Linked DNA regions of Oryzias latipes. The protein of the gene in region 1 purifies or fractionates together with the protein of each later gene. This does not show direct contact. Links are inferred from orthologs where the notes say so. Each region holds a gene or a part of one and is shown in the gene's direction. Other genes may lie near its edges. The genes, in order: kifap3, kinesin-like protein KIF3C and kif3b.

The links.
Region 2: the proteins of kifap3 (region 1) and kinesin-like protein KIF3C purify together in Homo sapiens (co-immunoprecipitation; 3 studies listed by BioGRID and IntAct, counting the BioPlex papers as one, with this or other methods). This does not show direct contact. The link is inferred for Oryzias latipes from reciprocal best matches to the Homo sapiens genes KIFAP3 and KIF3C.
Region 3: the proteins of kifap3 (region 1) and kif3b purify together in Homo sapiens (co-immunoprecipitation; 7 studies listed by BioGRID and IntAct, counting the BioPlex papers as one, with this or other methods). This does not show direct contact. The link is inferred for Oryzias latipes from reciprocal best matches to the Homo sapiens genes KIFAP3 and KIF3B.

Annotation. Positions count from the first base shown.
Region 1 is NC_019875.2:21,194,376-21,200,717, reverse strand, and holds the start of kifap3 (kinesin-associated protein 3), read left to right. Parts: upstream 1-2,611; 5' UTR 2,612-2,776; coding exon 2,777-2,805; intron 2,806-4,912; coding exon 4,913-5,044; intron 5,045-5,289; coding exon 5,290-5,447; intron 5,448-5,736; coding exon 5,737-5,798; intron 5,799-5,904; coding exon 5,905-6,046; intron 6,047-6,342. Other genes in the region: rod type phosducin, read left to right, coding at 44-263, 361-473, 779-967. UniProt on the Homo sapiens protein: Involved in tethering the chromosomes to the spindle pole and in chromosome movement. Binds to the tail domain of the KIF3A/KIF3B heterodimer to form a heterotrimeric KIF3 complex and may regulate the membrane binding of this complex.
Region 2 is NC_019882.2:17,757,335-17,763,133, forward strand, and holds part of kinesin-like protein KIF3C, read left to right. Parts: intron 1-1,457; coding exon 1,458-1,559; intron 1,560-1,647; coding exon 1,648-1,770; intron 1,771-3,956; coding exon 3,957-4,075; intron 4,076-5,043; coding exon 5,044-5,160; intron 5,161-5,284; coding exon 5,285-5,393; intron 5,394-5,799.
Region 3 is NC_019865.2:5,043,106-5,049,598, reverse strand, and holds the start of kif3b (kinesin-like protein KIF3B), read left to right. Parts: upstream 1-2,461; 5' UTR 2,462-2,548; intron 2,549-5,020; exon of another isoform or gene 5,021-5,123; intron 5,124-5,430; exon of another isoform or gene 5,431-5,881; intron 5,882-6,493. Other genes in the region: kelch-like protein 7, read right to left, coding at 691-863, 931-1,055, 1,124-1,217, 1,284-1,386, 1,464-1,568. UniProt on the Homo sapiens protein: Microtubule-based molecular motor that transport intracellular cargos, such as vesicles, organelles and protein complexes. Uses ATP hydrolysis to generate force to bind and move along the microtubule. Plays a role in cilia formation.

The DNA of each region.
Region 1 (6,342 bases):
CTAACACACATGGACTCACACCCTACTTTTTTTTTTTGCACAGATGAGCGTGCAGGAGTATGAGATGATCCAGGACGAGGACGAGCGTTGCCTGAAACGCTACAGGAAACAGTGTATGCAGGAAATGCACGAGCGCCTGAGCTTTGGTCCCAAGTTTGAATGTGTCCACGAGCTTGAGAGCGGAGAAGCTTTCCTGGAGGTGATAGAGAAGGAGCATCGGCTAACCCTGGTAGTCGTTAACATCTACCAGCAAGATGTCAAAGGTTTGCTTCTCAGTTGCTGACATTTAAATATGATTTTTAGATTGAGCTCCCAAGCGTCATAAATATAATTCTGATGGATTTTTCTTTGTTTTGTCAGGCTGTGAGCAGATGAACTCATGCTTGGACTGCCTGGCTACAGAGTACCCCACTGTTAAGTTTTGTCGCATTGATGCCGTGGCAACAGGAGCTGCGGAGCGCTTCTCCTCTGAGGTTAGTGCCCCAGCAGAAGACAAATAAAAAGCTTCAATTCTGACTCAAGAAATTGCTGTGGAGAAACAAAATGAGATAAACTTGACCTGCCACCCAGTCGCCTACAGACACACAGCATGGGAAACAAGTCACGAAAACTTAGATGTTTGATCAAAAAGTTTTGACTAATACAAATCAATAAATCCTCTCAGGACAGATGTGTCACTCAGATTTAAAAAATGTGCTTAAAAATGACTACCCTGCCAAAAGATTATTGATTGAAACTTAATAGCAACTAACAAATATTGTTTTGATTGTTCTTTCAGGTCCTTCCCACTTTGCTGGTGTACAAATCTGGTGAATTACTGGGTAATTTCTTGTCTATTACCAAACACTTCAATGAAGAGTTCTTCGCGACAGATGTGGAGGCGTTTCTCAATGAATATGGCCTCTTACCTGAGAAAGAGTTCGCTGCATGTGCGGACGAGGAAGATGATGCTGCGAATGTGGAGTAAAAAAAAGGGGGAGGCAGATCAAACTCATTTTTATTAAAAGAGTGGGGGAAAAGAGATTTGAAGAGAGGGGTTGATGGATGGATGGATGGATGGATGAATGGATGTTGACAGTGTTTAAGTCAGAACACTCACAATCAAAAGAGTCAAAGTACAGAATAGTTAACATCCAACAGAACATGCTGGACAGCAGTTGTATTTAGGGGCAACTAGGAGTAAATCCTCAAGTGTGGGGCAGCCTGTATGAAAACACTGCTTTAAAGTCATATCATAGCTCACCAATAAATTGTCTTGACCAGAGTTTCTTTGTCTGTCTTTCTGTGTGGCATTGTGTGGAGGGATGATTCTTTTTGTCTTTTTTCTCACTTTTTCATACCAAAACTAGTCAAATCATTAATCGGTGCTCGCTAAAAGGACAAAAAGCCCTATAACAATCAAGTGGGACTTGTCTGCATGTTTAGTTTAGCTTAATGAGTCTTATAGTCTGAAAAGTATATTCCTTTTTAAAATTAAAATAGTTTTATTTTTCTTCAACCAAAGAGCCACAATAGAGGCTTTAAAGAGCCACTTGTGACTCCACAGCCTCAGGTCACTGTCACTTTAGGAGCTTGTGGTATATCTGGAACAAAAGGAGGAACTTGGTTGGAACATGTGCACTTGGTTCAGCAGCTGCACAGGGGCTCAAAGAAAAGCTCTCCAACGGTCATCAGCACCGCCCAAAAGATTGTTGACTGCTCTCTCCCCACCTGGAAACTCTCCACAGCTCCAGCTGCCTCAACAGAGCGCAGAATATCTTTAGAGACACATCACACCCCAGACATATTAAGTTCTGTTTGTGCCAAAAATATATGGGTCAAGCAGAGTAAGGACAAAAAGACTCTAATACAGTTTTTACATAATCCATAAAAATGTTAAATGTGGCTAGGAAACATTTAAGCTGGACTTCCGCTAAATTGTGATACAACGGACATTTTCTTCTTCATTATTATTATTATTATTATTATTATTATTATCTGAGTTTAACACATATTGACTATCATGTTTTTTTTTAGCAGTAGTCCATATAAAGCAACAAATTGGTTTAATTTCAAGTTTTAAGCACTGCCCAATGTACTTCTATGTTTTACTTTTTATTTTAAGTGGTAGGTCTTTACCATGGGTTGTTTTTAAGGTATGACAATTAATGATAAAGATCTATCTATCTATCTATCTATCTATCTATCTATCTATCTATCTATCTATCTATCTATCTATCTATCTATCTATCTATCTATCTATCTATCTATCTATCTATCTATCTATCTATCTATCTATCTATCTATCTATCTATCTATCTATCTATCTATCTATCAAAGCACAGTATAACATATAGGGGGGATTTAATGAGACTGAACAAAGTATTGTATCTTACAATTAAATTTGCGACAGCGGCTCGAATTATTTTAAAAAGCTCTCCTTTACTGACTCAAGTTGTGTTGTGGACATTAAACTGTGCCCTATACAATTGTATGTGTAAATTGTATTATTACACATTACTTTCTGCTTCTGATCGTATTTCTTTTCCAGCTGTGAGGATTTGGATTTGAAATGTTGCCTTAAAGTCATTACTTAGGGTCTACATTCCCCCTGTAAGTTATAACTCAGGGCACCATTTGCCCACCGACGGCTAACCCTCTAGCTTTGTATTATTGTATTAACTGCCGCTATCATTGACAGTCTGTGACGGGCAACCGCTGTGATTTCGGAGTAAGCTCAATCAGATGTGATACAACTATAGAAATAATAAAAGGGTAAATTAACATTTACAAGAAAATGCAGGAAGACACGCGCTGCCTCAAACGGTGAGTTAGAATGAATGAGTTATTTTTTGTCGATCGATCATCGACCAAGGCCTAGAAGAAAGAAGACGAGCTCTGTAATATTTAAATGAAAAAGTGATTGATTAATTATATCAGCAAGTATTTGTTTTTTGTAATTCGCAAGAGTCGTCACTTCACGAAAGACTATAGCCTAGCAAACACGTTTATATTTTGCTTAATGGGTACGGAGAGAAAGGCGTGCTGTTATTTATTTGCTTTCTTTTTGTTAAATGTACACCACATCTCGCAATTAAAGATGACTGTCGCTGCTTTGCACAAAACAACAACAAAACGCATGTTAAATTGTTACCTGAGGGTTTTTTTTTTTAATGAAGGGGCTTATGGGAAATCAGGGGGTTGCTAGCCTAGCTAATGAGCTAAACATGGAGAGACTAGTTTAAACGGCAACAGATAATATGTATTGTTTTACTGCTTCAACAGCTGGTTGTTGGTTTTCAGTCATAAGACAGTCAGCGTCCGCGAGTGTTTGTGATACACGTCGACGATGGAGATTCCAATAGGCCATCCTTTTCCCGTTGTCCAGCAATGTACGACAAGATTGACATCATCATATTGGGAGGGGCAGTAAATAACGACACATGGCTTTGCAGATACAAAATAAGACCCAGGCCGTGGTATCATGGCCCGTCCTGCTATCCCCACTGCCAAAGTGGAACAGCAACAGCCACATGAAACAGTGGTTCCACAGGAAACACAAAGTAAAACATTGGAGTTTTGGATAATTGGGTCTGGAAAGTATCACTGCCCAGCTGGGGTCAGCAACTTTCCTGTTGGCCGAGCGATGGATCAAGGTGGCATGCTAATGGTTCAAGTCTTTTTTCAATGATCATTTGGAACCATCTCCCTTCAGTCTCCCTGCAGTGGAACTGCAGTGGATCCATCCACTACTACCACACTCACCCCGCCCGGTTTGTGTTTCTGTTCGCAGGGCTCTCTACCTACTAGGGGTGTAACGATTCATTTGAACAATTCGATTCGGTATTTTTGCCAATCGATTTCAATTTGGCTTCATTTTGAACAATTTGATTCAATGTTATTCACTGACCTAAAATCAATCCAGAACATCTTCAGCTAACATTTCAACCAGTGTGACTCAGAGAGAAGCACCTGGTACTGAGCAGTGAAGGGGGGCATTCCAGAAAGCAGGTTATGCGAGTTACCACGGTAAGTTTGAGGCTAAGGAAGCGGATAACCTCATCTTTCAGTTCCAAAAATGGAGGTATGTTTCAGGGTATGTCAAGTTGCCATAGCAACTCTTGCTCTGAACATAACCTGGTCTGGAGCTGGTTTAGTTGAAGGTTACTTTGTTTTCAGAGAGGTGAAGGAGCATGGCGAGTCCATTTGAAGATGATTTAGTGGATGAAGAAGCTCAGATAATACTTTTTCCACCATGAGAGGGCGATAAGACCATGTATGGATGTTCAAGATTCATGATTTGTTTTATTGTCATTCCACATATAGTATTTGCAGAGAAATACACAGATGAGACGAGATGTTGTTTCTCACTAGCATGACAGTGCAAGAAAGCAGCAATAATAAAAAATAGCAATAAAATAACAATCCAAGACTGGAAAAAAAACAATGAAATGAAATTAATAAAAAAGGAAAGATAAACTTTTTTACATTGATCTAACTTAATTATTTGCTTCAGTTAAGATAAATCTTTTTTTTAGTTAAGGCTGCTTAAAAATAACACGTAGTTATCAGACTTTTATTTTACTTTCATTCAATTTAATTCAATTAAGTAGATGTAACTTTGATGCTGCTGTTAGAGCGGCACCGCAAGGGATTGTGGGATACCATTTCCTTTGCCTGTCTGGACGGATTTGGTTTTAAGTGTGGGTTTTTGACCAAGGCTGTTTATTTGTTTAGCTGTTTTACTGTGTTTTGCCTAGTTATTATGTCCTACTATGGTTAAGTCTCTGCACCATGAGTGAGAGGGAGGGAGAGGATGATGAGTTTATTTGTTCTCTGTCATTAAAGATTATAATTATGTGTTTGTTTTTTTCACAAGACATTTTAGACTGTTAACATTTTGACCTCATATTTGTTCAATTTTGATCCCCAGCAAAGTGACGTTAGGGAGTCTGGATGTCCATCCCACAGAGAAGGCTCTGGTTGTTCACTACGAGGTTCAGGCTGCTGTCTTAGGAGGTGGTGGAGGTCCTGTGCTTGGTGAACGCAAAGAAGGACAAAAAATGTATGTTTCTTGTTATCTTTCCTATATTTAAATCAAACGGATTGATTAACTTGTTAAGTTAGTTTGGATTTGTTTAAAAGTTGTATCCACCAAAACTGGATTAGCATTGTTATACATTTTTGCAATGATTAACAATGAAAAATTAGCTACTTCTAAATGCATCAGCCTCTACATTCTCCAAATGGAAATAATAGATGGAGTCAGTTATTTGTGATGCTTCAATGTTTGCCCTTCTCTCCATTTAGAATCCGTTTGAAGAGCCTCTCTCCTACCACAGATGTGGCAGCGTTGGCTAAGAAAGTGGTGGAGGAGTGCAAACTCCTCCCTGCCTCCCGTTTGCCACAAGTGGAGCAGCTCCTCTACTACCTGCAGAACAGAAAGTCCTCCCCGGTGGAGGGTAAAGGTCAGACATTTAGGCCGAGCACGTTCTAGGAGATGCTTTTAGTTTCTTTTTGTTTGCAAACACTTCAGGTTCTCAAGCTCATAATTTGTACAGAAAAATGGTTTCAGGGTTTGAACGTTTTAAACGTAATATGCCAAAATAGAAATAGGCTTTATGATTCAGTGATGTTCTCGTTATGGTACTAAACAAACTTTTTGTAAAATAATAACATAAACTGTTGAAAAAATTAGCTTTTTTTAAAAAAACTATAATGATTTATTGTATATGAATGTGTTTTTATTATTACCAGTGGAAAGGAAAGAGAAAAGACAAGTGAAGCCCAAAGATCTGACACCATTTGAAGGACTGGAGGTAAAGACTTCATTCAACACAGCAAACAGATGAAATCCTTATCTGTTAAAGTGCTTTTTCCTTTTAAAGTCAACCACATTTTGTTTGCCTTTTTTTGTCTTTCTAGTTAAATGAAGAAGCTAGTATAACTAAAATAGATGAGTACGTGGAGCTGCTCTATGAAGGCATCCCAGAAAAGATCCGAGCATCTGCTCTCATTCTGCAGCTGGCCCGTAACCCCGACAACCTGGAGGAACTCCTGCACAATGGCATGAAGTCAATTTACTTTCTTGTTGTGTTCAGTCTAAGCGTGAAATGTATTTACTGTATACAGACGGAAACTTTCTTCAGTTATTCAGTTACAAAAATGCATTTTAATACATAATTACTTATGCACCAGCCAAATCGTTTTTGCATCCCAAACAATCAGTGACAATCATCACACTGCATACTCTTCAACGTAGATAGGGTGGGTAGAAACAGTGTTTTTAAAATCCCACACAGAACATCTTTTAAACGTGTTCCCAGTGGTCTTTTGATTATGACTATAACATTTTTCACCTAC
Region 2 (5,799 bases), on another chromosome or scaffold:
CTTCCTCTCTGAAGGACTCCACTGTCCCCTGCTGCAGTTCAGACCTGCTTTTGTGCTCCTATGAGGACAGCAAATGCTAAATACTGTAAAGAATGCACACATTTGATAAACGCACAATGTCTTTTTAGGATCAGAGCCTGGAATGTGAGCAGCTTTACATCAGGCTGTACTTCCAATGACCGTTTATCTCCATGGGAACAAGATGCTGTAACCGGGCGTTTGCCACACGATCTGCACTTCTTCTTTAGAAGAGATTATAAGTGGAAACATCTCAGCCCTTTTGAAATTTTTATTAAAGATGTAGGTTTTCCTCTTTGTATTTTTTGCTCCTTGCGGCGCTTTGTCGTCACGTTGACGGGAAGCTGCAGCATCGTCAGCGCAAAGTTTGCACTGACTGCAGCTTTTGTGTTCACAGACGCTTGACTGTTCCCACATGAACTCTCTCTGACCTCCAGCAGCTCCTAGGACCAGTTTAGCCCCCGGCCTTTGATCTGTGTCATCTGTCCGATTTGTTCCTATGTGCCTCATCAGCAAAACCCAAAGATCCATGTTTGTCTATGTTGTCCTGGTCCCAGCTGGTATCTAGATCTAAACTGAAGAAAATATCACATCAACAAATCACTGAACACAAAAACGTATTCAATAGAATATCAAAGTAAAACAAATAATAAGAAAACAACATTACATTTTAGAAATCAAAACAAAATACCAACAAATTAAACTGATATTTTTTGGAAAGCAAAAGTAATTTCCAGTGTCAGAATAGAAACATTAAAAAATAAATCACAATAAGAAAATGTAAAAGGTAGGTACTATGGGACATCACTGATTGGATGATGACATTTGTCCATCATTTTAAATGCGAGGAAATTGGCATAAAGCAATGTATTTAAATATCCTTCCATCCATGTACTTAACATAATATATCACTTTCCAGTTCACAGGACTGGTAGAGCCCAACCCGGCTACTGCGGGGCAAAGTCAGGGTACATCCCGGACAGGTCCCCAGCCTGTCGCAGGGCCCACCAATCATAAAACCTTTATTAATTTGCATAAGATGCATTTGAAAAAACTCCAAACGTCATTATCCAATCAGTGATGTCCCGTAGTTCCTACCTTTTCTGGGGAAGGGGTTTTTCCCTGCCAAGAGCCCACAACTCTGAGGTGAATTGCTAATGACCTACTGCTGTTCTGCAGAAACTATGTCCTAGAAAACGACACAGGTTTTTGATTTGGGCCAAAAGTGGTATAATCATAATGAACAGACCACTGGGAACACTTTGAAAGTAGATCAAAAGATGATCAGATTGGGGACTTTGTACTTTTGGAAACTTATTTGTTTTTAGCTCATTCTAAAGTTTGCCTCACCTTTCCAGTTCCTGGAAGTCAGCCTTCTCATCTTACGTTTTGCCAGCTGGTTTCTAAAAACGTACACTGATAATGGGTTCTGTTCTCAGGCGATGGAGAGCAAGCTTCTAGTTGGTGGTAAGAACATCATGGATCACACCAACGAGCAACAGAAGATGCTGGAGGTGAAGAGGCAGGAGATTGCAGAGCAGGTAAAGAAACTGTGCTCACCCTTAAAATCCCTTCTCATGTGCGTTCGAAAACAAAGTCTGCTGTTAAAGATGGACTTTATGTTGTCAGACTCGCAAGGAGAGGGAAATCCAGCAGCAGATGCTGGTCCAGGATGAGGAGACGGTGGAGCTCAGGGAGACGTTCACGTCTCTACAACAGGAAGTTGAGGCAAAGACCAAAAAGCTCAAGAAGGTGGGTCTACTAGCTTTCAAAATAAGTGTGAAGAAACTGGCTCTGCTAGATTGGACTGTATTGATAAAATTATTAGGTCCGTACCCTGTCAATTTCTTGAACACAGAAATGAATGAATAATGACTCAGAGACAATACTTAGCTTCAGTGAAGATTTACTCCGCACAAAAGGCACAGATTTGTACAAAGGGTTACAGACAGATGAACAGGTTACTGCATCAAAGTCCGAACAACGGAGCTCAAAGTCTGAACAAAGAAAACAGGAAAATGGGCTTGGTATATAAGTCCTGCATTTGCATATTCAGAACATCATCCGATGGATGGTGGTGTGAAAAATCCACCCCCAGTTGCAGGCTAGATGTTCGAAGGTCAGAGAGCTTAAAGTGTCAGATCTCTCTGAGGTTATCACAGACATTTAGCAGAGCGCACACACCAGCACACACAAAGATGGAAGGGGAGGATGCTGAAGGAATGTTACGAGACAATAGTCTTGATTGTGCCTTGTAATATAATTTTGAGATGATAATACATAGTGAATCAAAGTTTAAACCATCAGTGTAATAAAAAGTAAAAGTGAGTTTCTAACTATTCTGTTTCTAATTATTCCTAACAATAAAGTAACCTATTTTTTAGAAAAATTACATTCACATTAGATGACAATATTTACATTTACTTTAAATGACCAGTTTCACATAAATTGAACCAAAATGAAGAAGCAGTGTGTGGAAAAGTATTTACTTCCTATGGCTGAGTCCTTGGCTTTATCTCCATTTCATATTATTTTGGAAAAGTTGTGATCTTCGTTTACATAAAGAGTATTTATTCCTAGCAGTGTGAAAAAAGACTAAAATACTGAATGAAAGACCCACTCAGTTGAAAATTGTGTTTTTGGTGTTTATCTTGTTCTTGTGGCATTTTTCTCATGATGGAGGAGATATTTAAAGATAATTAGGCCTAAAATAGCATTTGTGAGTATTTCTTTGTTCAAATCTTGTGAATAAGGATCAGATATTTTCAGAACCAGAATCAGCAGACAACAAAATACTGTTTGAATAAGATAGTATTTGCTACGTAGACAATACTCTCGGCGGGCCACAAAAAAAGAATAAATAGATCCACGTGCGTCTTTGTTTTTATGGTCTGTAAAGCTATGATGAAAATTACAGGCCTCTCCCATCTTTTTAAGTGGGAGAACTTGCACAATCGGTGACTGACTAAATACTTTTTTTCCCCACTGTATGGCAACATAAAAAGTAAAAATAGGGGAAAAAACAGTGAACAAGATCTTTTTCAAAAAGTTATATATCTGCTTTGTTTACTTATGGTCAGCTTAAAATAGTTTGTACAAGAGGCAGCAATGCTAAAATACTAATTTAATACTGAAATACTAATTTAATGCTCAGTTCGCTGGAGAAACTTGAAGATATTTAGAAGACAAAATTAAGTGACCACCACACAAAGCATTATAACAGAAAATGTACGTCTTTCACAGAACATTTTAGGATCATCTATGAAAACTCAACTTTGACAAAACTGTTTTAAAAAATCTAATTACACAATGTTTATTTAAAATACCTAAGTAAAATTCAAAATTTGCTTTAAAAACTTTAAGAGATTTGTAAAGTAGAAGACTAAGGCAAATACTGTATCAAAGTCTGAAAATTTACCATGATAAATTTGTGTTCTAACATATTTCAGACAAAAAAATCTAAATTACACATCTGTTTGACTCCTTTGAGGTCATATGTGTGAGTCCAACAGATGTGTACACATCCTTTCACTCGACTCAGTGACTCGCGTTGTGGTTTGTTTACATGAAAATCTCTATTTTCAGTGTTTTTGTGTTTAAAATATTTGCAGAATGTCGTCCACATTGCAATAAAATGCATCTTCACTGCAGTTTCGGGGTTAAAAGTCAGGCTGAGCGGCTGATTTTCAGGCTGAAGTTATACAGAACAATGTGGGGGCTAAGGGGTGCAGCAGAGAAGTAGAGGAATGAACCAAATTGAGGGTGGGGGGCGGACTTGGCGTGCTCCCATTGGCTGGCCAGCTCTCCAGATACCAGTGCCCCCAGTGCTGTTGCTATGGGCAACCAAGCTGCTGCAATCTGGAGACGAGTGCACCAGCAGATACCCCAAACTGAGAAGCTTGGCTCCTCTCAGCCGCTGACTGTTTGTGTTCCTGCAGCTGTACTCCAAGCTGCAGTGCATCAAGGCGGAAATCAAGGACATGAACGACGAGCATGTGGGGAGCCGGCAGGAGCTGGAGCAGACTCAAAACGAGCTGACCAGAGAGCTCAAGTTCAAGTGAGTCACAACAGCGTCCCGAGGAAGTGCAGGCACCAGCACGTCTCAGCTTCTCGGTTTATCTTCTTCCACCTGCTCTCTCACCTCACACACAGCAGTGTAAATCTGTTCTGTGCAGAGCAGGGGTCCCCAAATCCAGGCCTTGAGGGCCGGTGTCCTGTTTTCCAGAATCACTGCCCTATTTGCTGCTGATTACCTGGATCAGGGGTGTTTAGCCAACAAGGAGCTTCAGTAGCCGGTGGGTTAGAAAACATGTCGGACACTGGCCTGGATTTGGGGGACCCCTGGTGTGGAGGATATTTCTAAACATGAATCCCTCCCAACAACTGCATACCACTGAATGAACTCCTTTTGGTATCTACAGAGGACATTTTGGGCTTTTCAATCATACCAAACGTGAAGGGGTGGGGCTATGGGCTGCCTTTTGTAAAGTGACAAAGTCAGATATTAACAGCAAAACATTCATTCATCTCTTAAACCTGTTTTGTCCCTTTCGGGGTCCCGTAGCCGCTGGAGCCACTCTTGGGCGAAGGCAGGGGACAGTCCACATAAATCACACACTCACACCTAGGAACAATTTAGGGTAATCAATGAACCCCGGAGAAAACCAACGCATGCAGGGAGAGAAACATGCAACGTCCCCCATTCTGTTTCAGGTCCCCCTGGCGGGACTTGAACCGGGGACATTCTTGCTGTGAGGCAAGAGTGCTAACCAGCAATATTTTTGGTTATTTAGCCTGTTTTAGAAGAAAAAAACCAGGTTTCATTTTTCCGATACATATTTTCACATTTTCATTCACGTATTTATAAATGTTACATTCATCAACTAACATTTAGTACCGTAAGCAAACTCAATATTTAGTTTATTCTATTCTTCATAATTCATCTGTTTGTCTCTATGCTGCTCTTTGGTTTGATATTTTTAGGCTGCTGTCTCGCCACATTAAAGCTGCATCATGTCTGCACAGGTATCTCATCATTGAGAATTTTATTCCTCCGGAGGAGAAGAATAAGATCATGAACAGGCTGACCTTCGACCCAGAGGAGGATCAGTGGAATTTCCAGCCTCTCGTTCCCGCTCAGAGGTCGGTGATGCTTTCATGTGATGGTTTTCAGGAGTACGCTCTTCCTCTCTCATCTTTCTCATCTCAAACAGTCTCCCTTAAAGCCATAATTAGTGATTCACTGATGGAACTTCTGCCTTTACAGTAAATTCTCACAGATGAAGAAAAGGCCGACATCTGCAGTCGGATACAAACGACCCATCAGTCAGTATGCTAGGGTTGCCATAGCGATGGGAGCTCATTCCAGATTCAGGGTGAGCTTTTTTTGTAATCAGTGCTATGAAAACATAAATCTGTTTATAGTGGTGAGGTATCTTATTATTTATCAGAGTAAATGTGGAAAATGAATGTTAAGTTAATGTCAAATGTCAAACAAAAATATGTTTTTGCTTCTGCATTGTTCAATTTTTGATCAAATATGTTATCTTTCTTTAAAAAGATGACTACACCTTTTATATTTTTTAATTAATCTTATTCTTTATTTCTTTCCATTTAAGAAAATGTATTTATTTAACATTATTTTAATGGTATTTTCTAAAAAAAAATCTTCACCAAAAGAAAAAATGAATAAAATTAAATTTTACCTGTAAAAAATGTAAAAATCTTTGGATCTATGGTCAAAATAATTGTCTAGTCATCTGCTGATTATGCCACCTTTTA
Region 3 (6,493 bases), on another chromosome or scaffold:
ATTAGATGCCCTTGATAAAACTGTTTATCTTGACTCAAGACTGGCACAGCAAAACACTGGATTGTGCCCTTTTGTGGTTGCATTCCAAACATTAATAAATAAAAAACAAATCTGCAATTTTTCTAAAAGGTAAAAAAATACATCTACATGTCAGGAGGTAAGTAGTTTTTGTTTTAAAGTCCCACTCCAATCATCTTTTGATCCATTTTCAAGGTGTTCCCAGTGGGCTTTAGATTATGATTATGCCCGGGGGGGGGGGGAGGGGGGGGGGGTGTAAGCCAAAAATCAAGGAACTCATCGTTTTCTCAAACATTTCTGCAGAGCGGCAGTAGTTCATTAGAAATTCGCCTCAGAGTTGTTGGCGAGTTAACCCCGCCGTGCCTTCCTGCCACCCATAACTGTGCTCTCCATTTAGCGCTCTCTTACTGGCTTACAGCCCCTCATATCCCCAACCTAAAAAACAACAAAAAAGAAAAAAAATATATTATATATATATATTATTATTATACATGTGCTCCATAATAAGAAAAATGCCACAAGAACATGTTTAAAACGCCAAAAACAATTTTCCTCGGAGTGGGTCTTTAGCCGTTTCCTCGCTGCAAACAACCTTCATTTCAGGTCAGACTTCTAAAATTCCCCACATAACAGTGTAAATATATATAATGGCATAACTTTAAAGTCACATACCTCCTCCCCACAAACTTTAAGCTTTTCCTGGCGCAGCAGATGAGTGAGTGTGGTCACATCAAGCTGGAGGAATCTGCTGGTCTTCCAGATCCTGGTAAAGTTGCGTCTGAGGATGCTCTCTGCTATGGCCTTCAGCCCCGGACAGTTTGCACGATCTGCAAGGACTGCAACATCTGCAACACAAGCAGGTCAGCAAACACGAGGACCACGAGACGGACGTTTCATTTCCTTTTACGTTACCCAGGCAGTTTGTTGCATCAATCTGTCTTTTGATGAATTCCACACAAACGTTCTTGATGGGATCGATTTGGAAAAAGTCCGCTGCGTACAGCAGAGCCTCCACGTTTTGGTTGTCCACCGAAACTCTGAAAGTAACATGGGTTCATGCTGCATCACAGTACCGACTTCTGCTCAGCAAAGCCACATGACTCACTGCGCCGTGTAAATGAAACCAATCACCAGCTGAAGAATGTCAGGGGAAACGTCCCTCAGCTCCACCTCATGAGTCCTAGACTCCACCATACTGGCTGAAGAGAGAAAAGAAAGCTTAGCTTCAGATCAAATCGACCAATATGGCTTTGCATTTTACTTACTGCTAAACAGAAGATGGAAGAAATGACTGGCTGCCGCCAGAATCCCTCTGTGAGCAGAGAACCGATTCCCCTGAACAACCAGGGTCACGTCGCAGAGCCTACCCTGCAGGAGGGGGCCGGCGCCACATGTCAGAACAAACGCCTTGTGTGCTGAAACACCAAAGTCCATCTTATTCTTACCTCTTTTCTAAAGCTGTTCATGGTTCTCACAACGCTGGACAGTTTGTAGGACTTTGAGTCGGACGTCCAAGTTCCTCCATTTCTGTTGGCGCTCTGAGAGGCCATCCTCGCCTCAGAAAGCTTTTCTGATTGGAAGAACGTGAGAGACGTAAAAATAAATGACTTCCAGTTAGAAAAGGTGCCTCTTTGATCTGAAAACATTTAAAAATCTAAACTGATGACAACCAACCAGTGACGTTTGTTCTTTAGAACCAAATTTATTTTTAACCAACAAGTTTGTCTAAAGTCAAAATTTACACCAACTTAATTTATAAAAAGAATTTACATTAATTTAATTAAAGAATTAAAAAAGAAAAAACTCAAATGTCAATATATCCAGCCAATACCAAAAAAAAAAAGAAACAAAAAAAGTCTCAAAATAAACGCGGAAGTTTGATGAAATTCAAAACAAAGATAAAGTATTAAAAATATATATTAAATGTAAACCTTAGCATTTACATAAAAAATATTTAAAGCTGAAATAAAAACAAAGGACTAGAATTACTTTAATAAAAATATGCTAATGTGTAAATAAGGCCAACTGAAACAAATCAAGCGTAATCAAGCAATAATCTAAATTACTTAGCAGAATTTAGCCAAATAATGACGAACAAATACTCAAAAGACATTTTTTTTTTTAAAGTCAGTAAAAGCACATTTGTTCATACTTCAGCAGTGCCTCGCGGAAGTTTAGTTAGTCGGTTGAGAACAGAAGTGAGCCTTGAGAAAAAAAACATCTGCTGTCCCTTCAAGCGGGAAACAAAAAAATCAACCGACGTGATGAGGTACACCTGTGTCCGTTAAAGTGAAAAGACGGCTAAAAATATTTTTTCTCTTTTTTTCTAAATCATTTTTCTAAATCATGCCGTTATCTCTAGGTTCTGTGAATGCCGGGGGGACTAAAACCTGTCATAAAACGTAAAAAAGAAGAAGAAGAAAACCACCACGCAGACTGAAAGAAAATCGCAAACCGGAAGTTTATTTTGAAAAGCTAGCTAATATGGACTGAACTGTAAACTGGAGCCAGTTGGAACGATTTCTAAACAGTAAGTGTAACCCTATTAACATCATAAATTAAAAACATTTGCCTTTTGATTTGTCTATATGCTCTGTAAATGTGTTCATCTTCAGTGAAGTTTAAAAAAAAAAAAGAATACCACAAAGCAGCACTTTGTTTTTATTTAAACAACTTTTTTTTGTTTTACTTACGCCACTCCAGTGTGGTGTTTTGTTTGTTCCATCGTGCAAGTGTTTTTTCCTTTCTTTTGGGCTTTTTAGGTAAAACCTGACAGATTAAAGGAAACACAGAAGAATGTGATTTGTTGCTATGGTAATGTGAGTAGGTAACAAATTAGTGAAATCAATAAATTAATTGTTTTTTTCCAGGTAAGAATGGCCGATTCTCTGAAATAAGTGCACTTTGTGTCCCACAGGTTTGTCTCAGAGATTTTTACATTAAAGTAAACCCCAAAGTGCATTTTAAAACAAGACATGGAAAGATCAATGTCTCTCTGCATTATCACAGACAAATATATTGTGAGAATTAGAAACATTTGATGGGTTGCCGAGGCAAAGGGGTCAGACAAACGAGCATGTCCCCACTGACCAAGGCTACGTTTTCACTAAATATAAAACAGATAATAGCCAATAACTGCAAGTTTTATTTTTCTAATGTAATTTTCTACTTTCACCTAAATATAAGTAATATAAGAAAAAATTTGCATCATTTTATGACACCTCTCAGTTTTGTTCAGCCCCATATGAAACGATATATGAAAGAGCCCTTTTTGTACTACATTTGAACCGTACCGTAATGATAAACAACCAGTAAACCTGTCTGCTCTATGCTGCTTCATGGTCTTACCCCCCTTCCCCTCCTATTATCACCCTCCTACCCCCCCCTCTCTCTAACGTCCCTCTCTCTTCTTCCCTTCTTTCCTTTTCCGTCCGGTCCAACACCAAAGATTTTCAAACATGATCTAGTTCTTTGTATGCAATGTTGGTGCTCGTTTGAAATTTATATTTTTAGTTTTGGGGCATTATCGGAGTGCAGCACGTGTTGATGCCATATTTTGTCACAACCAGAAAATAAAGAAAACCGCTCCAAGAAAGTTTCTCCGGTGTCTCGTGGCTTCCTGAGGGTGCTCAACATCACACAACGCAGAGCAGAGACCAGAAAACGGTTACACATGTATGACCCTCAATAATCTAGCTAATGTTTACATGAGGCTTCTATTAGCTAAAACTTTATAACTTTCAACCTCAAAACAAACAAAAAAAACCCTGTTACAGGGTTGAATCATTGTTACTGGGCTGAAGGTTCAACTTGGAATTTTTTTTTTTTTTTTATAAATCAAATGAAATTTACCTACAATAAGTAATATTGCACAAGGGACGTGATTACCACGGAACTGGAATAGTTTGTTTGAATAAGTTTAAACATAATAATCATCCTAAAGTTAGATTGTCATGCTACGGGGTTGAATTAAAAACAAACCAAATGATGACTTCATTTCTAATAATTTTTTGGGTTTCATCCCTATGGTGGGAAAACAAATTGTCTGAGAAGTTCAAATTGTCAGATGCAATGTTCAGAAACACAATTATTGTGGTTCATTTTGTTTTTAGAAACCGTTAACTGAAAGTTAAAGGAATTTGGACAATTACGGTAATCAAATAATGTATGAAAAATACATTTCTATCACATTTAAATGTGATTTCTGCTTTTAGATACTGTATTAAAAAAACATTTGGATCCTTGATCCATTGATGCTGTCTAAAAGTGGACAAGCGAAGAAGTTATTCAACAGGCAATTTACCCTAGATAAGGAAGAAATACAACCACTGCAGAGTTATTGTACGCCTCAATGACTGTATAAGAGAACTGGACTGAGTACGTGTGACGTCACCCATAGAAATTGCTTTACTTCTGGCTCCAGCAAAATGAAGCCAACTCAGTGGGCTTTTTCTTTTGCGATACGGACGTCGCCTTACTGGAGGCAAACGAGAGTAATTGGTCCAAAGAGTCAATGTTTCTATGGTAACTGCTGTCGCCAATCAGGAGTGAGCATGTTCGAAGTTCACACCCCTTGCAAACTGTCAAACGTTGGAGGGAGGGGCCAGTGGGCAACACATACTTTTACTGAGGCATTTGATTGGTCAGTTTACAACTTAAATGATTTCCTGTGGGAAAAAAAAAAAAGATTGGAAGGAACTACAATAGTTATTCTGACAAATAGAATGACTGAGTCATATCTGCTTAGTTAGGGCGTTTTGGCTTTTTGGAGCCTGTAAATGACCCATTTTAATTGTTTTCTTATTACCAGTATTGTTTAACATTTCCTTTGATTGAAGATGCCTTTTATTTCAAAAGAAGTATGCTGAAGATGTAAAAGAACATTATAAAAACAGTATTGTTTGCAGAGTGTATTTTGTTTTGAAAACTTTTATTGTGAAGGTTCCACCTACTTCTGCTTTTTCTGTGAAGTGCGTCAGTTCAACAGAAACAAAAAAAAACGGTTAACAGCTGATGCTACGGCAACAAAGCAAACAGACAAATAACAGACGGATAACTGTCTAAAGCTATCATTTGTTTTTGGCATCTAGCTGGAAGGCGAACAGGTATGATTTTTGGTTCTGTTTACTCTGTATACATTTTGTGATTATTTTCAATTGGTTTTATGTAAAATAACAAAAAATGTTTCTGTTTGAAGTTATTCAACAATCTAACGCTACTAGCTGAGGTAAAGAATGGTTGTAAATCAAAAAGGAATTATTGTAAGTTTGTTGTTTTGATTTTCTTCAGCTCTTACGGTGTGACTATGACGGTGGCGTAAATAAATGGGTTGGAATACCCCAGGCACTTTCTATTTTAGAATGTGAGGGGCGAGTATTCGCCTGTGGCCCCCGACTTGCTAGGTCCGCCCCTGGCTCAATCCCTTTAACCGTAACTACGCGAGTAGACGCGCAGCGCCGCTGGCGGCTCGTTCAGCCGCTCATGAAACGGACTTTTCCCCTCATTGATGGTAGTTAGGATCTAGTTTCTATTTATTGAGGGAAAAACAACGCGACGTTTCTTGTGATTTGTGAGGCTGCAGTGGTTATCGGGCGGGTTCAGACGTTAAGCTCTCCTCGGTGATCGTTGTCCGTTGGGGTGTTCCGTTTGTTAGCCGGCGGATGCTACCAGATTTGTAGCTTAGGTGACCGGTGTGTTTGCCGTTGCCAGGCCGGTGTTGTTTGTTACCGAACGCGCTAACGCCTCGCTCAGTCCGGGTTCGGGTCGGTCACACCGGGCTCGGTTCGCGGCTCTGTGCCACCGAAGGCTTTTATTAGCCTCAGCTTTTCCAATTAAGAAGCCAAACAGGAACAGCTAAGCTGAGGTCGGTATCTTTCTTTCCACTGCACCGATCCAACACACATTTAGTTTTTTCAGGGAGCTGATTTCCAACTCAGTTTTTGTGTTTTTCCTGCTCTATTAAAGTATTTAAAGATTGGAAGAGATTCGAGTCACTGTTAAAAAAAAAAAAAAACAGAAGACTAAAAAATATATAACTTTTAAGAAAAAAAACATACCTTTTTCAGTGTTGTTTTTTTGTGTGCCTAGTTATAAATAACTTGTATAAAATTGCAGTTATGTCCGGTAGGGAGGCAAAAATTAATTGATGATGAATTAATTGATGTTTTTAATCAAATCCAAATATACCATTAAGAAAAAAAAACAAAATTAGATCAATTGATAATCTATATTGGTAAATACCATTTGGATTGAGGTGTGGTAGGTTTCTTTTTATACAATACCAGATATAGAAAACATCCCCTGCAGTGTTCAGTACCCAGGCTTTTATCTCAGCTATTTAACACTTTGGCTAAAGTAGTCCCAGATCGATCAGAGGTCAATAAATCGGAACGTTCCAAATGAATCGATATCGACTTTAAAGTGTATCAGTGGCCACAAATCATTGTTAAAATGAATCGTTACACCCCTAACGTCT